Lytechinus pictus: one gene and its partner. The protein of the gene in region 2 interacts with the protein of the main gene of each other region in a pairwise test. Links are inferred from orthologs where the notes say so. Each region holds a gene or a part of one and is shown on either strand. Other genes may lie near its edges. The genes, in order: ATPase family AAA domain-containing protein 3-B-like and disks large homolog 1-like.

Evidence for each region.
Region 1: the proteins of disks large homolog 1-like (region 2) and ATPase family AAA domain-containing protein 3-B-like interact in a two-hybrid assay, tested with the Caenorhabditis elegans proteins (3 studies listed by BioGRID). The link is inferred for Lytechinus pictus from reciprocal best matches to the Caenorhabditis elegans genes dlg-1 and atad-3.

What each region holds. Positions count from the first base shown.
Region 1 is NC_087258.1:24,497,647-24,506,586, forward strand, and holds the start of ATPase family AAA domain-containing protein 3-B-like, read right to left. Parts: upstream 3,661-8,940; 5' UTR 3,581-3,660; coding exon 3,352-3,580; intron 1-3,351. UniProt on the Caenorhabditis elegans protein: Essential for mitochondrial network organization, mitochondrial metabolism and cell growth at organism and cellular level. Important during development for the up-regulation of mitochondrial activity during the transition to higher larval stages.
Region 2 is NC_087260.1:18,802,585-18,811,352, reverse strand, and holds the start of disks large homolog 1-like, read right to left. Parts: upstream 3,663-8,768; 5' UTR 3,606-3,662; intron 2,298-3,605; 5' UTR 2,247-2,297; intron 1-2,246. UniProt on the Caenorhabditis elegans protein: Essential multidomain scaffolding protein required for normal development. Recruits channels, receptors and signaling molecules to discrete plasma membrane domains in polarized cells. Required for proper embryonic elongation.

The DNA of each region.
Region 1 (8,940 bases), on a different chromosome or scaffold from region 2:
CATGGAAAATACATTCTAATATCACAGTGAGTGAATAAATATTGATAGAAATTATGTAAGAAAATAGATTAGGCTATGATTTTGTTTGAGAAATAAAAAAAGTGAAATTCTAGCTAACTTTTTAAATCATTTACTGGACTTTCTAAGTTTTTTTGTACACATAGAGATGCATATCTCAACTTTTTCACTACACAGGATGTTTTCAATAGGAAAGCTTTGCTGTTGGGAATATTGGCACTGACTAATAAATGTGTCAATATTTTCGCATGTTATTAAATTCAAGGCCGATCGGCGATTCGCGAAATCCACGAAAATAAAACCCCCGCGAAAATAACAGCTTATACAGCATTATATATTCATTTCAAGTATTCAATTTTTCGCTATAAAACAGTCAATAAGCATTGTCAAGTTCAAGGAATGTAAACATTCTATTTTTTTCAGATATATAAATAGATGTGTGGAGTTACATTGGTTAAAGGAGAATGAAACTCTTGGAGCAAGTTAGCTTTTGTGAAAGCAGAAAAATCAAAGAATAAGATCAACAAAAGTTTGAGTGAAATAGGACTAGCAATAGAAGAGCTATGAGCATTTGAATGTCTAGATCACTAATGCTATGGAGATCCTCCCATTGGCAATGCGACCAAGATCTATGATGTCACAGATGAACAACTCTCCCCTTTTGGACACTGAAAATATACCCCAAAACTTCTCTTTTTGCTCATTCTAATCATATGCAAACGATTTATCAATGATATAATGTTGTGAAACCTTTGTACTTGTCCTCTCATAAAGAGAACACCTCACCTTGTGATAGACTCTATAAAAGTGAGAATATAAGTGAAATAAGTACTAAAGTAATGAGGGAGTTGTACGTGTGTGACATCACAGATCTTGGTCGCATTGCCAATGGGAGGATCTACATGGCATTAGTGATATTGACATTCAAATGCTCATAACTTTCTTATTATTCAATCAATCTTCCTCAAACTTTCAACAATATGTTTCTTTGATTTTTCTCTTTGATATGGATTCAGCTGGTTTCAAGGGTTTCATTCTCCTTTAAAGTTTAAGCCTGGGTTACACCGAAACCGAATCAGCTGTGAATCCATCCAAATACATGTATCTACAATGTATTCAGGAGTACTCTTTTCTCCTTCCCAGAATGCCAGTAAATTCGAGAGGGATTAGGGAACATTCGTGGAGAGATTCAGCTCATTTTGAAATGTTTAAAACCAGCCGAATACTCTCCGAAAGACTCGTATCTGGCCACGACAAATTTAAATCGGGCCACTTTCAGGATATATTCGGAGGAAATTCCGATAGATTCTGGGAGGCATTTGGGGTATTCTGGCAGTCAATTCTGCTCTGATTCAGGACCTATTCACCTCTAATTCAGGGAGACGAATAGGTTTCGAATCCACTAATTCCATCCGAATCAGGCCATATTCTTGCAGAATTGGTCTGAAATTATTATATTAGGGACGATTCGATTTTGGTGTAACCCTGGCTCAAGGAAAGACATCTTTATGACCCTTCCTTTCACTTTCTTCAGTGGCTTGAGCACAATCCACGTGGATATGGTGCTCTAGGCCAGCGCACACTACACAATCCGTTACTTAGTAACTTACATTTACAACACAATTTTTTAACAAATCACATTTTAGTAATTTACACAAAATAGGCTAGGTAGGCCTACATGAAACTCCCAAGAAATCATTTTATTTTTTAAGTTTAACGTAATGATAGGAAATACTAAAATTGTGGTCACAGACAAAGATAATTTTCTTATCTGCTTAAGTTACATGTAAGTCTTAAGACAGCTTTCAGTGCAGTGGACATCAGGGGCCCGTTTCTCAACACCGTCATAAGTCTAACTTCTTGACTAAATCGGAGATAGTGAGCTACTTGTCCGCTAACCGTTTCACGAAGCCCTCTTTACCAAGATCGGGTACAACAACCTCACTAAATATTTATGACACCTCCGAACCTGTCATAACTTCTTTCTTAATGACGTAGTGGCATCACGTGTGTAGACTATGACATGCAAAAGTGCCAAGAAATTTGAAAATAATAATCTTACGTAATCAATCATAGAGGTTGAAATTACATCACAAAACAAGTGGGATAACGCATTCAATGATAATTCTAATACAAAGAACTGTTGGTAAAACGCCACAAAACCATTCACTTTGAAATAGTAAAATGATTTAATCGATAAAGATTCTACCACGTCAGGCCATCCATAACTGGACTCGTATTTGTTGTTTTCAGACCCCTATTAACATTTGGATAAATTCTATCTCTAATTTATGCATAGAATTTGTCAAATCGTATGTTTCGGTATCAAATATTTATGTTTGGTTTTGTTAAACTATATTTTGATGATGTTTTGAATCGTAGAAGGGCGTATAATTATCATCATTTTAAAAAGAAAACCGTTATGGTTTATTTTCGTAAACTATTAAAATTCGATGTCACGGGGGTACCCAGGCATCTCAACGTCCACATTAGACAGCTGGCAGCCGTCTGTTTCGAGGAGTTTTTTAACTTTTTTTTTTTTTTTTTTCTCCTCGTACACAGACGGCTCGCTAGCGTGCAGCCACCATTAGGGGACTTGCAATGCAAAATCCCCCCGTCGGGGCTCTTCAATTGTTGTCTTTAATGAATAAAAATTTTGAAAATTAACGCGACCAAAATGCAAATTAATATTCCCTCTTGGCATTAATTGCCAAAAAACTGAGAAAAATCAAGTTAAAAGGAACAAAAACAGTGACTTACCTCGGCTGTCGCGCAAATTCACTTCCCCGTTTTATCCGATCTTAAGTACATAAACATATGGCCATTGAGTCCCCTGTACAGATCGCGCTAGAACTTCGGTCTCTGTATTTGGTGAGTGAAGCCAACGGAGTTCAGCTGAACAACCAACATAACAGAGACCGAAGCTTTTGGTCTACGTCCACATGTGATTTTCTAGTCATGAAATAAACTATTCATAATTTAATTTTCTCAGCAATTGAATGCTCCAATCTTCATGGTCTAAGTATGTATGATGCATAGTTTACATGTGCTATTATTTTGAAAAGATGTATTCCCCAATTTATCACAATATTTGCAATTTTGTCATAATTTTTCTTTTTGAAAATTATGCTATTTTGTGACTAAGTAAGGCTACGTCTCGTCTGCTCTTTTTACCGAGAGTATCGATATCAAGGTATTCTAGTTAGGAAGCCTTTCGTGAAACAGGTTTAGTAAGATTGGAACTAACTCCGTGGTTGGTGGATAAAGATATGACTAACTTGTCCAGGTGTTGAGAAACGGGCCCCTGATCCCCAAATAATCCTACTCGCTCACCGGACTTGTCGAGCTCGCGGGCAGCCTGGGCCGCCCGCTCCAGGCCCGACGGGTCGAAGTTACTGAAGTTGCTGTAGCCGGCTCCTTTTCCTCCTCCTCCTGATCCACTGTCCCCCTTTCCATCTTTTCCTCCTCCTGATGAAGCTCCCGATCCTCCATCTTGTAAAACTGGAAGTTGAGGTGCCTCTGGCAGAGGCTGGTCCTTCCGAATCCCAAACAACCACGACATTTTGAAGAGATTTTACAGGCTATTCTCGCTGATGTAATGCCAATGCACGTGTGTGTATTGCTGAGGTCAAAGTTGAAACTGGACTAGTCTTTGATCAATAAATCTAAGCTAATAAGATTTTTTTCTTCCTAACGCAGAAAGCCCGAGGCGAACCACGAAGGCAATAAAATACTGTACTTTGTTCGAACACTTTCACTTTCGTGTTTATTCAAAATTATTTCGTTCCCTATATTTGGTTGTGATATTAAATCATAAATGTATATGGCTATAATTTGGAGACTATATTTTTCAGATCGATACTTGACACCACTGGCGTAAATCCCGGGGGGGATGGGGGGATATATCCCCCCCACTTTCGAGGAGGGGGGGAATGGCCTGTACAAACATCCCCCCCCCCCACTTTTTACGAAAGAAATGAAAAAAAAAATCACAACCCCCACTTTTTACGAAAGAAATGAAAAAAAAAATCACAAGAGATAATTGTTTTATTGGTGAAAATTCTTCCTAAAATACCGCTTAACAAATAAAACAATATTATTAAATCATAAAATGCAAATAAAGAGCAATTTCACCATTTCCAAACGAAATACTTATGTCCTTATTATAACATTGAAGAGAAACCCCTGTTTCTTCCAATTCATCAATGTTGGGGTCTTTGGGAAGGGATGAAGATGGAATGTCAAATTTTTTTTAATGTAATCTCTAATAAAACCATTATTACCATCATGGGGTAAAAAAGATAATAATATTGGAGGGGTATTTGCCATATGGATATACAGTGGCGTAACTACGGGGGACATGGGGGGCACATCCCCCCCCCCCCCCCCCCCCCATCGGCTGACCAAAAACAAAAACGAGGAAAGGGGGAAAAGGAGAAAAGAGGGAGAAAGGAAGAGAAACGTAGTGGGAAAGAAGAAAATATTATTCATTATAATGTTATATTATTCATTATAATGTTATATTATATTATAATTATGTTATATTACAACTTTATGAAACATAATTTGCCCAGGGCCTACGTCTATTTTTATTGTTCCTGGTGCTCGCATTGTCTGTTTAACGAGATATATAATCCTGTAACATACCGTTTTCAAGTCAATATAAACCAAATATATTTCCTAGCACTTGAGTTATCATTGTTTTATGTAGTGACATATGCTTCTTTTTCATGACTCAAAAGTGATTGCCCCATGTTAAGGTCTTCGTATATATGAAACATTTCCTGTCCGTGATTACGTTTGCATTAGTGGATTGGTGAGATATGTCTGCTCTTCATGAATTCCTAAAATCAGTCCTTAAAATGTCCCTTCTTCTGATCTGAATATCAAAAATTTTCAGCTCGCGCTTCGCACTCGCATCATTTGGTTAATGAAATACGTATGGTCCTAGTTAATTCCTACAAAGAAACCTTAGAATGCCCCACTTCAGGTCTGAATTATCTAAGTGTTCAGCTCGCGCTTCGCGCTCGCATTGTTTAGCGAGACAGGTACCTATCATGATTACACAAATTTGATTATATTGTCCCCTTTTAGGTGTGAATATAAAAAAATTTCAGCTCGCGCTTCGCGCTCGCATTATTTGATCAGTGAGCTACATATCCGTTTAATGACATTGTCTTTAAAATGTCTCTATTAGGTCAGTATAACTGGCAACTTAGCGCACTCACTTAGTGATTCAAAAATTTTGCTGGTGCCCCCCCCCCCCCCTCCCCAATGCCGTGACCCACGGTACGCCACTGTGGACATATCAATGACAATTCCTTGCATATCTAAAAACATGATTGCAAAAAATGCCAAAATATTTCAGTCATCCCCCCCACCCATCAACACGGATTTACGCCAGTGCTTGACACCCCCCACCCGTCTGTGTGGGGGTCCATATATTTTACTCAATCGGGCTAGAATTAGGGGCAAGTCCATCGATCCCAACAAAAAAGGCAATTTTGATGAAAATAGAAAATCCAGCAAGTATGCCATTTAGGCCCTATATACTGACAAATTTATCATCATGCAGGGGCGGTATTCTCCGGGGGGGGGGGGTTTCAGATTTGGACTCGGGCCGCGCGTGCACTAAAAAATGACTGATTTATTTTATATTTTTTTCAAAGGTGGTTGTAAAAGACTGGTCAAATAAGCAAACGTATGATGGGGGCAGGGGGCAAGCTGCCCCCCCCTTGCGGATTTCACCGGGAAAATAAAAAAACAGGAAAAGGAGAAAGAGAAAAAGGGAAGGGAAAGAAAGAAAGAAAGAAAGAAAGAAAGAAAGAAAGAAAGAAAGAAAGAAAGAAAGAAAGAAAGAAAGAAAGAAAGAAAGAAAGAAAGAAAGAAAGAAAGAAAGAAAGAAAGAAAGAAAGAAAGAAAGAAAGAAAGAAAGAAAGAAAGAAAGAAAGAAAGAAAGAAAGAAAGAAAGAAAGAAAGAAAGAAAGAAAGAAAGAAAGAAAGAAAGAAAGAAAGAAAGAAAGAAAGAAAGAAAGAAAGAAAGAAAGAAAGAAAGAAAGAAAGAAAGAAAGAAAGAAAGAAAGAAAGAAAGAAAGAAAGAAAGAAAGAAAGAAAGAAAGAAAGAAAGAAAGAAAGAAAGAAAGAAAGACTTTTTTGACTTTTCAAATGAAAACTTTATTTACAAATTATAATCACAAAAGTCAGGTATATAATAAAAGAATAGTTTGACATAAACATTCAAATGAGATCAGGTTGATTACAAGCACAGAGTTATAAAACCAAATGTTAAATGAGCCATGCAATGCTGCCCTCGTTAATTGTAAAAAGTAATCTATTCATACACCATTTACGTGAAAAAGCATCAATATTAGAACATAATTTGTAATAAGTAAATTCATAGAGTATTCTGTTTTTGAGACGATGTAACCAAATAATAAGTGGATCGGTGAAATTTGAGGTACGGTACATAAAATAAATGGTACTTTTTAAACTAATAATAAGGAAATTAGCAAGGCGGATAACCTTTCTGTCACGCCCTCTGGCATGCGGAATGAGTGCCCAGTATAGGTCAAAATTAAGTTTGAGAGAGGGGAGGAGATTGTTCAACAGTCTATGAAGAAGATTGAGAGGGGGTTGGATTCCTTTACATTCGATGAACAGATGTTGAATGGTTCCTGGTTCTCCGCACCATCCGCAAAAAGAAGAAATGTCTGTATTAAGATGATGGAGTATAGTGAGCGACGGTAAAATATTGTGAAGGAGCTTGTATTGAATATCAGCCTCTTTTTTAGGTGTTGGTAATTGATAGATAGATAGCCAGTTCACTTTTGTAGATGGATCGAGAAATCCAGTATCATGCCAATGTGAGCTTGATGAGATTGTCGTATTATCTAGTTCTTTCCTGTAGATTCTGTAGATGGCTTTAGAAGAAGCAGTAAGTCCATTTTCGGAAGAAGCCAGAGTGAAGTTGATCGGAGTAACTGGAGCAGACAATAGATCAGAGTATTCGTGTTGACAGCCTGAGTCATTAAAATATGTAGGAAAAACTTTAGAGAGTGCAGTTCGAATGAGTAATGTTTCACGTTCGATGAGACGCGATGATGGTTGTCGAAGTCCTCTTGGAAAGTTCTTTTGGAGACAGCTACTCTCAATCCAAAGACCAGTTGAGTGGTTTATCAAATGGCGAACTAGTTTCACTCCGCATGCCATCAGGCGCGTCGGAAAAAAATTATCAACATCAATTGCATCAATAATATGAAAACTATTTAAGGGCATGTTAATTGCATGGCTGAAAGAGAGGGATTGTGTCACAATTCGAGCTCCAGATGTCAACCAAGCTCGCAGAACTTCACTGTAGTAAACTGGAAGACTTGTGTAAAACTTAGGATCAATTCTTGTAAAGAACAAATGGTAATCAAATCCTAATTTACAATACTGTCTCAGAAAATGAGCCATAAAGTCGTTTACTGGATGAGAATTTAACGAAAGAAACCGTTGAATAATCGAAAATCTGTAAGTTAGAACACGAGCTTGGAGACAAGCTAGCCCCAGCCCTCCTTCGTCAGGTTTTTCATACAACACTTCTTTCTTTAACCAGTGCCGCTTATTTGACCAGATAAAATTCACAATTAAATTCTGAAGTTCGTTTAATACATTTTCAGGAGGAGAAAGAACTGCAAGAACATGAAATATTTTTGATGCAGCGAGCTGGTTTGCAATCAATACCTTGCCTTTAAATGAGAGTGAGTTCGATAAACGAGACCACGAAATGAAAGTCTTATTAAGTCTTTCTTTACATTTAATCCAGTTTTGTTTAGAATAATTAAACGTGTTCCCTAAATGAACTCCTAAAAAGGGGAGACCTTCACTATTCCAAGAAAAGTTGAGGGGTTTATCATTCCGCCCTTTCCAACGGCCGACCCAAAGGCCTTGTGATTTTTTTGTATTTAAACATGCAGTAGAGGCCAGACTAAACGTATTGTAAGTTTGTTCAACTAATTCAAAGCCAGCATCGGCTGTAACAAATATCGATACATCGTCTGCATATGCAGATACTACACAAGGTTTGTTAATAGCAGGGATATTTAATGCATGATTTGACACGTTCTCTCTTAGTGAGTTCAGGAGAGGCTCAATGGCGAGAGTATATAGCAACCCTGAGAGAGGGCATCCCTGTCGTATTCCTTTCTCAAAGGGGAAGGGAGCTGTCAGGGATCCACACACTTTAATAAGGCTTTCAGACCCTTCATACAAAATTCGTATATAAGATATAAAATGACTTCCAAAGCCCATGCGTTTCATAACATTGAATAAATAAACATGATCTACATTATCAAATGCCTTTTTCTGGTCCAAGTTCAATACAGCCAAAGAAATATTATCAGTGTTTGCATAGAACAAAATATCTCTAATGAGATTAATGTTGTCATAAATAGAACGACCGGGGATACAATAACTTTGGTCTCTTCCAATAACATGGTCAATGCATGATTTTAGCCTACTGGCAAGCAGCCTAGCAAAAATTTTATAGTCTGTGTTGAGGAGGGAGACGGGACGCCAATTTGAAATATCAGCGAGGTCTCCTTTTTTGGGGAGTAAAGTAATGACCGCCCTCCTAAAAGAGTATGGTAAAAATCCAGATTCAAGAGAGGAGGTAAGAACTTCGAGAAAATCATCTTTGAGCATGGGCCAAAAGACATGATAAAATTCAGAGGTAAGTCCATCGATACCAGGAGACTTATTTTTGCCTAGCTGCTTGACAGCATTATCAAGTTCTTCTACAGATATTGGATTCTCAAGGTCCTTTGATAAGGACGGATCAAGCGTCTTGATATTTACAAGTAAACTATTGATGGCGCTCTTGTCAGTTGGCTTTCGAGTGTAAAGAGATTCATAAAAATCCCGAACATGATTTTTTATCTC
Region 2 (8,768 bases):
TGGGGGGGGGGGTTAGTGGGGTGGGAGGTTGAATTGACATGAGAAAATATTGACAAGTATATTGCGATCAAATTTTTACATCTCGACTTTTTTTGGGGGTGGGGCATTTTATGTTGATAGAAAGGAGAACTTTGGATAGAGGCTTAATTTTAATGATAAAAAGCTTGAGTTATGGCAGGTCATCATTTGATGTATTATCTAGCCATATACAATAAAAAGTGATTTCCCCTAAAATTTGCAAAACGAAGTCTCACTGCCCATGCCATGAGAAGATATACACATGTCAAAGTATTCCCAAACTGTTTGAAAATTGAATTCTTTTTGCCCGGTAATGCATTACTACGCTCGACGAAGGCGCAGTGCTGGGCCGGGCTATCAAATGTTGGTTTGGGATACGTTTGTGACAGTACGGTCTGATGGATGGTTTCATAGCACAGGGAAGCGAGGCTAAATTGAAACTACCCTGGGAAATCAACAAGAAATGTGCGACATATGTCGGATGCCTGTGACTCAAGGCTGGCAAAATTGACTAGACTGGAGTTTAGAAAAATCGACTCTGGTGCTGGCGGAAGATGGGAGAGTGATGGTTAGTAATTTGGGGACGAGAACGAGAAAATGGAGAAATGAGAAAATAGAGAAATGGCCATGTGCATGAGGCATTTATGAAATGTTATTTACTCTTCCCAATCTTCAAATTCCACAGTGGTTTAGTCTCGCAACTCGGGACGAAAGGAAAAGGAGGAGGGCGATGGTTTGATGTCGATGAATGTAGAAATGATTTTTTTTTTACGATGGGCAAGGAGAAATGTATTTATCAATACTTAATAAGAAAAGGTGATTGAAAAATTGTATTTGCAGGAGGGAAATCACTGCAGGGAAATTAATGAATGAGTGAATGATAGAAAGAGGGAGTGAAAATAAGCTTATGGGGAGATAGAGAGGAGAGAAAGAGCGAGATAGATAAATGGGTGGAATAATGAAGGGGGAGGGGGGGGGGAAAGAACGGAATTGCAAAAGAGGGGGGGGGGGTCCAAGGGGGTGGAATAAAATAAGATGTGAAATTTATGTATCATGTTACACATACATGGATAATATATAAGGGAGACAATCCTGTCAATAACATTCAGAGAAAATCCAATATTGAGTAGATAAATTAGGAAAAAACATAATTTTTATAAAAAAATTCTAATAAAACAAACTTTCTGTTTCAGATTATTAAAAAGGAAGCTCAACTAAAGTCATCTCGAACCAGAAAAAACTGCCCTAAACCAACTCGGAAATTACCCGTGTTACAATTTCTCCTCAATTTCACAATAAACCTGATCAAATTCTTCATGACAAAATGTCAGCAAACTCCACGGAATAATCCACAAAATGCAGAATAATTTCATCTCGCTATTATCTTTTAGTTCTCTCCTGGCCAAACGATGCAAAAGATAATTACAGATGTCTTCTTCGAGGCCTTAATTATGCATATCATACCAGATGGAATTATCCATGTCATATTTTGATCCCCAAGCTTGAGGTTTTGTGCATATTTGAGTTTAAACGAAGGTCTAAAAATAACATTCAAGATGAGAAGATGGAGGTTGTTATGAAAATCGATAACTCTATGAATAATGGAATCTATCTGATGGCCTTTCAAAAATAAGTAGAAAAAGAAAAAAAACCCAGGGGCAACAGATGCATGAGAAGTCGGTCTCTGATTAGTATGAAGACAATAACACTGTCTGGAAAAAGAGACTAATCTGTATCTCCGATGTCTAGCTTCTCTTGCTCAAATTGGGGATTTGGTCTCTGTTCAAGACTTTCTGTATTGTCTTGGACATGCATCAGGAATTCTACCCCCCCCCTTTTAAATTGCAGATTGGATTTTTATTTGGAGTTGCCTATATAAAGGTGATGGTTGATTTTTTTTTCACAATTGAATTAAAAAAAATAAGATTGTGATTAATCTTTGGAGATGACATGGAGCATGGTAAAAATGCATTAGGACATCAAAGAAAGTGAGAGAATGAAAGTAATATGATGAAGGATAAAAAGGAGAAGAATGAAGGAGGAGAAAGAAAAGTAGAAAAGGAATGAGATGGATGATGAAGATGGGGGATAAAATATAAGATAAATAAGAAAGAAAACGAAGTGAAGATAAAAAAACCAGAGCATTAGAAGAACAGACAAAAACTAGGAAGAAGATGAAGAAATGGGAGGAGAGGAAGAAGAAAAAGGAATAAACATGGTAAACTTACCCGTACTAATGTGATTTCCTCATATTGCCACTGAGTATCTCTATTTTGTATCTGACAGAGAGATAGAGAGAGAGAGAAAAAAAAGGAGACACAAAAAAAAACCAAGAGTTTAAGAAGAGACAATATATATTAAATAGGAACAATTCCTCATAAAAATGAGAAAAGGTAAAGAAAATTGCCATCAACTTATCATTACAAAAAAATCGAATGAAAATATGCTCCGCTGTTCCCGTACATAAAACTTGATATCAATTTTTTGGTTCATGAAAAAAAAAGAAAAATAACCTCATATCTACTCTAGATAACACTCATTCTTTTCAAATTCCTGAAAAATTCCAAATTATGCAATTCCAAAATTTTCCAAAAGAGAGTACAGTCAATTTTATAATTTTTCAGTATTATGACTGGGTATGCCAAAGTCATTTAAATCTAACTTGTATGACTACCAATGATTTATTTGTATTAATACATTTAAATATGTGCTAATTTCTTCTGGTATATAGAAAAAGACTTATTAGTCAGTAATAATACAAGGGTTTGCAGTTTATAAAGTATGTCTAGTTGGCAATAAGCAAGGAAAATAAAGTAATTAGACTTTTTTCAGGGTATCATATAATACATTCCTACATCTGCATAGCTCTGTTAGCAATTTTCATTGTCAGAGCGTGATACGAAAAAACAACCCAACTAATTCACATGGATTTTTAAATTCTACATCGCTCACTCCCCTGAAATGTGCTTTTTGTATCAGAGTAGCTAAATCTTGTGTACATAATACACATGATTGGAGTATGTGAAATGTACATGGTGTAATCGGCTGTTCTGGTATAATGAAATCAAATGTTTCAACCTATTGAACAAATCAAATGAACGATGGTGTGACGGCGTCGCTTACAGAATCAAACTTCGCAGGAAGCCGGGGGAAACGGAAACAAACCCAACCACAATGGAGGAAGAAAATGTGATTAATCATAAATTTGGTGGATTGCACTGAAATTCTGTGCCCGGATCTTGCATTAGGTTTTTGCACGAGGCTGTGTATGGTAGGTGGAGGTACACCGTTTTCCTGAAGTCAAAAGCAACAGTTGTATGCCCTTTGATCAATGCATAATGCATGGCTTGTGATCTCTGATGGTAAAGACACCTCCATGTGATGTCAATCTTTTAAAATGCCATTTTCTCAAAAAAAAAAATTGAAAGTGATGTTGTTGGTATGGTGGATACTCTTGTTTTCTTTGATGGATTGTTGCCCAACCTTCACCACTATTTTTTGAAAATTTGTCTGTTTTTATTGAAATAAACACAGCGTTATGGTGAAGTTCCCCTTTAAAGTCTTAGCAGCGGGTATTTTGTACTTACTGTCGGGGTTCCTGTTCCCTCTAATCTGTCTGATAACACTGGTGATGAAGGTGAGGGCTGCTGAAAAGAAAAGAAGAAAAAGGAAGGAAATTTTATTTACTACTGTCAATGTCAAAAACACTAATATGGGGGAGTACTTATGATAGTGAATTACTAGTTATTAAACTCAAGATTAGCATAATAATCAGCATCGCCATTACCACAATTTATCAGCCATTTACAGCATCAACAATTACAACAACTTTCTCCTTTATTTTTACATTACTACCACTTTCATAACCAATGCCATTTTTATAACCTCATCATCATTATCATCATCATCATAATCACCACCACCACCACCACCACCATCACCACCACCGTCATCGTCATCATCATCAACAACACCACCACCACCATCACCACCATCACCACCACCACCATCATCGTCATCATCATCATAATCATCATCATCATCATCACCACCACCATCATCATCGTCATCATCATCATAATCATCATCATCATCGTCGTCGTATTCATCATCATCAACACCACCATCACCACCATCGTCATCATCATCATCATCATCATCATAATCATCATCATCATCATCATCATTATCATAACTGTCACCTTCACTGCCATAATCATCTTCATTCCAACCATCATCATGACCACCACAACCATCATCATCATAACATCATCACATCAACATTGACATCATCACCACCACCAATGCCACTATCAACATCACAACTCCTCATCACCATATAATCATCCGATTCTTAAGTTAAAATGTTTTTACCAAATTATGCAATCATAATACATACCTCAAACAATACCACCAATATCATAATCACAATCAGTATTCACATACCCTTTTCTTGAACTCATCAACACACAATTTTTTCCGACACATACACATAGGCCTAAATGAGCAAAGTTATAAGCATTCATATTTAAAACCAAGCATTCAATAAACATCGGAGAAACATTTTGATAAGTCCCACCACAAAATGCAGAACTAATCTCATCAGATCCAATTAGCCGTACCATGAAAATAACAACTACATCTAACAAATATTGGCTGGTTTCAAGTACATAAAAGCCCCGCTCTTCCCGCATGGTCGAAAAAATTTCTCCTTTCCTCATTAAACATCTAAATTGCATCAGCAGGTAGTAAACAACATATCATGGACTATATATCACCATTTGGAATCATAACGCAGAGATTTAAGCTTGCGGCAAGGATAGGGTATTACATTAATTTTACTTCATTTAAAAAGCTGCTAAATTTAAAGACACAAGGCCTCATAATAGAGGGTACTTCTGCCTGCAGAGTGCAGACTGTGTATGCTAATTACCAGGGGTTGAACAAAAAAGCTATTTAATGATACGCTGTATTGTATTGATTAAATAATTCTTTCTCCTGGTTTCTGTGTCTGCCTGACAAGGTCTGTACAATTGTTGGTCTGTATCTCTTATCATTTTCTTTTTACTTGTACTGTATCCCCTAAACAGGTAACTTGATGCTGTAGTGTTGTTTAAATTTAGCTCTGTAGTGCAATGTACAAAAAATTATCAATAAAAAGAAGATACACTATTAACTTTATTCTCAGATAGCAAGCTCATTTTCAGTGACTATTCAAAAATTTTGAAGTAAACGCTAAAAGCTATTTGCAAGATGCTTTAGTTCGAGTTTATATACTTCTAGCCTCGGTGACGTGACATGCATGGCACGACCTTAATCAGGTTTTGATCGATAGGTGATCGGAGGTCAGGTTTAAGGCTGCCATGGGCGTTGGAGGAGTGGAATGAATGCTTATGGTGGTGGTGTTGGAGGTCGTGGTGATGGTAGAGTGATGACAATAGTGGAGGTGGTGATGATGGGTGGTGGTGATGATGATGATGATGAAGATGGTGGTGATGATAATGATGTTGATGATGATGGTGGTGGTGGTGATGATAATGATGGTGATGATGATGGCGGCAGTGGTGGTGGTGATGATGATGATGATAGTGATGATGATAATGATGATGATGGTGATGATGATAACGATGATGATGGTGGCAGTGGTGATGATGATAGTGACAATGGTGATAGTAGAGATGAGGGTGGTGGTGATCATGATGATGATGGTGGTGATAGTGATGACAGTGATAAAGATGGTGGTAATGACTGCTGTGAAGAAGACAATGATGATTATGGCAGTGGCGGTGGTGTAGGTGTTGATGATGGTGGTGGTGATGAAGACGATAGTGATAATGGAATGATCATGGTGATAATGAAAATGGTGGAGGTGTAATGATGATGATGATTATGATGGTGACGATGATAATGAAGATGACGATGGTGGTGTTGATGATGATGATGATTTTGGTAATGATGATGATAATGATGAGCTATATGAGACGCAGAATTCACCAACATTCAACTGTTTTGAATTCTCACAAGTTAAATACAATTTGCTTAACCAATAAATGATTCAAATTGTATACCACTGTATAAACAAGATGCATCAACTAGGAGCACATTAGGAATATTGCAATTTATCAGACATCCTACTCACGTTCCGCAATGCATAACAGAACCCTTTCAAATCATCTCGACACCTGCAATTTGATCGAGCCTTGCAACCTCTAATGCTAATCTGCAACAAAGGCAGAAATACAACGACAAATATTGGAGCCCACTGAGAGACCAAAATGCAGTAATCAATCTAGTGAAGCAGATAACAACACGTGTACAGTGAATTCTTAATGACATACGATCAAACTCTACAACTCACTAAACAACATCTTAAGTTGTTTTTCAATCAGCTCAGGGAGTCAACCGTGTTCTCTATTCGATGCGTAAAATAATACGGATTAGAAGACATTTGCATCCAAGATAGCTATCACATCATTCTTTGCATCAGGCATTTCTAATTCTCCATAGTCTTCTCTTGCCCGTAAGGTGCCAGAGTTTGTGGGTTTTACATGTTTATTAGTCACGGCTTGACATTTTTGTTTGTTTCTTGGCATTCTGATGCAAACCTCAAGGGGTAGATAACCATAAGAAAACCCAAGAATGTGATATTTTTAACTCATTCTCTGAAGAACTTTTGCATAGAAATGTGGCATACTGTTAGAAGCAGGCAAGGCCTACTTTTTATTAGGTCAACTCATAAAAAGAATACTTCTCTGAGTCCCGTGTATTCTTTTAATATGATGCTCGATGATGGTCTATAGTGTTATCAAATTATCTGCTATTCGTCTCTTAATATAATTTTTTTAATGCTATGTTAAAATGGAAAGTGATCTTATTCAAGTAATTTGTGGTTGTATTTCAATATAAAAATATCATATGGGCCCTAGTCTGGTGAAAATGTGTGTGTAAAGGCTAAATCTACCCTAAAAATTAGTGAGTTGAATGGCCCGAATAAAATGGAGCAAATCAAATTGAATATGTCATCGAAATCACTATCACTATTCAAAATTTATTTGAATTCAGCGTGCAGAGTGGGAGATTCTTGGTTAACAGGGACATATATAATTCAAATTTCAAATTGACAAAAAAATAAAGCACTGAGTACAGTAAATCTTTAGGGAATAGATGAAAATACAATGATTATAGTGGTAAAAACGAGAAAAGAGAAAAGAGAGAAAAAAACCAATCATCAGTGACAAGGGAAAATCCCAGATTGAAATCTGAAGCTTTGTAGATGAAGTAAAGATTTGTTTAATTCATTGTCAACCGTTTCTGTGTCATCCTATCTGTCCATAAACAGGTATCTCCCCAATTCTTTTCAAGTGGAGGTGCCGTGGCCGAGTGATCTAAGGCGCCTGGCTATAGATGGAAAGTCCAAGGTTCGATACCCGGCCGCGGCACCTATGCCAATGAGCAAGACATTTAATTGACAACGCTCTTTTATCCTGCATTCAAATAAATGAAAATGATATACGCATTATTGGTAACTAGGTGTGCACTTTATAAAAAAATTCTTTGCAAGCTGTCAAGATATAAATGAAATATAGAGATATTCCAAAGTCTGTATGTATCTGAAAGTGACAGCTAATTTATGAAGTGTGAATACACGTCTTAAATCTTGATTTATTTCAAATTTTCAAATTAAAAAAAAAATCAAATAGACAACTTGGAAAAATGAACTTCAAGAAGTGGCATTTTAATGATACTCTTTACAATTATTGATTTATTTTAACAAGTGGAACATTATCCTACCATTACTTGACTTTCTCTTCAAGTAAAGAGACTGAGATTTCCATAAAGAATATTTCATCCACTTGCTTTCTTTAAACGGCTGAATATTCTCGAAGATTTTCTTTTGGCATGCCACTTCCTGTTTTTGAGTCAAAGCAGTTGAAAACCAACCCCCACTATATCCTTGGGGGTTTAATCTTGTACACAGTCCTACATATCCAGATCCACGTATGGTTTCTTGTGTCTGCAGACTTGGATAAGATGCACAATGAATACTGTACAAAGACGGGCATATTCATGTATGGATTACAGCCAAGATTTTTTTTCTTGAAATTTGCATGACCAACAAACATATTGAAGGACAAAACTAAAAGAAATATGTGACAACAACCTTTCTCGCATTAAAAGAAAGTCAAAATTCCACAAAAGAACCTCAACTTTTGTTGAAGATCAAAGTCTCTGGAGCTTATGGTTTAGGCAAAATTATTTAGCATTCATCTTAAAGTTCTGCCAGGCATTGATTTTTCACAAGATGATATTGATGGATGAAAATAGTACCTCAAGCACACCAGGGCCCCGTCTTACAAAGAGTTAGGATTGATCCAATCAATCGTAACTCTATGGAAATCCACCAGTGTCATAATTTTTTCTACAGGAAATTTGCAAAATGTACTTTGTAAACAAAGGAGAACACCCCAAATTGTCAAGAAATCAACAAATTTATGGATATGCATCATATCTATAATTTTTTTTAACAAACAAGCATTTCATATGTTGACTTTGCTGGCATGCCATAGTTGCGATCGATCGGATTAATCGCAACTCTTTGTAAGATGAGCGCTGTAAGCTATCATGAAGTGCCCCACAAGACTGCACAAAGAAGGGTAAGAAAATGGATATTGAAAATAAATCAAATCCTGGGAAGAAAAGGGAGAAGGAAAAAATGTGATGTGAAATTTGAACCATTACTTCATTGGCTG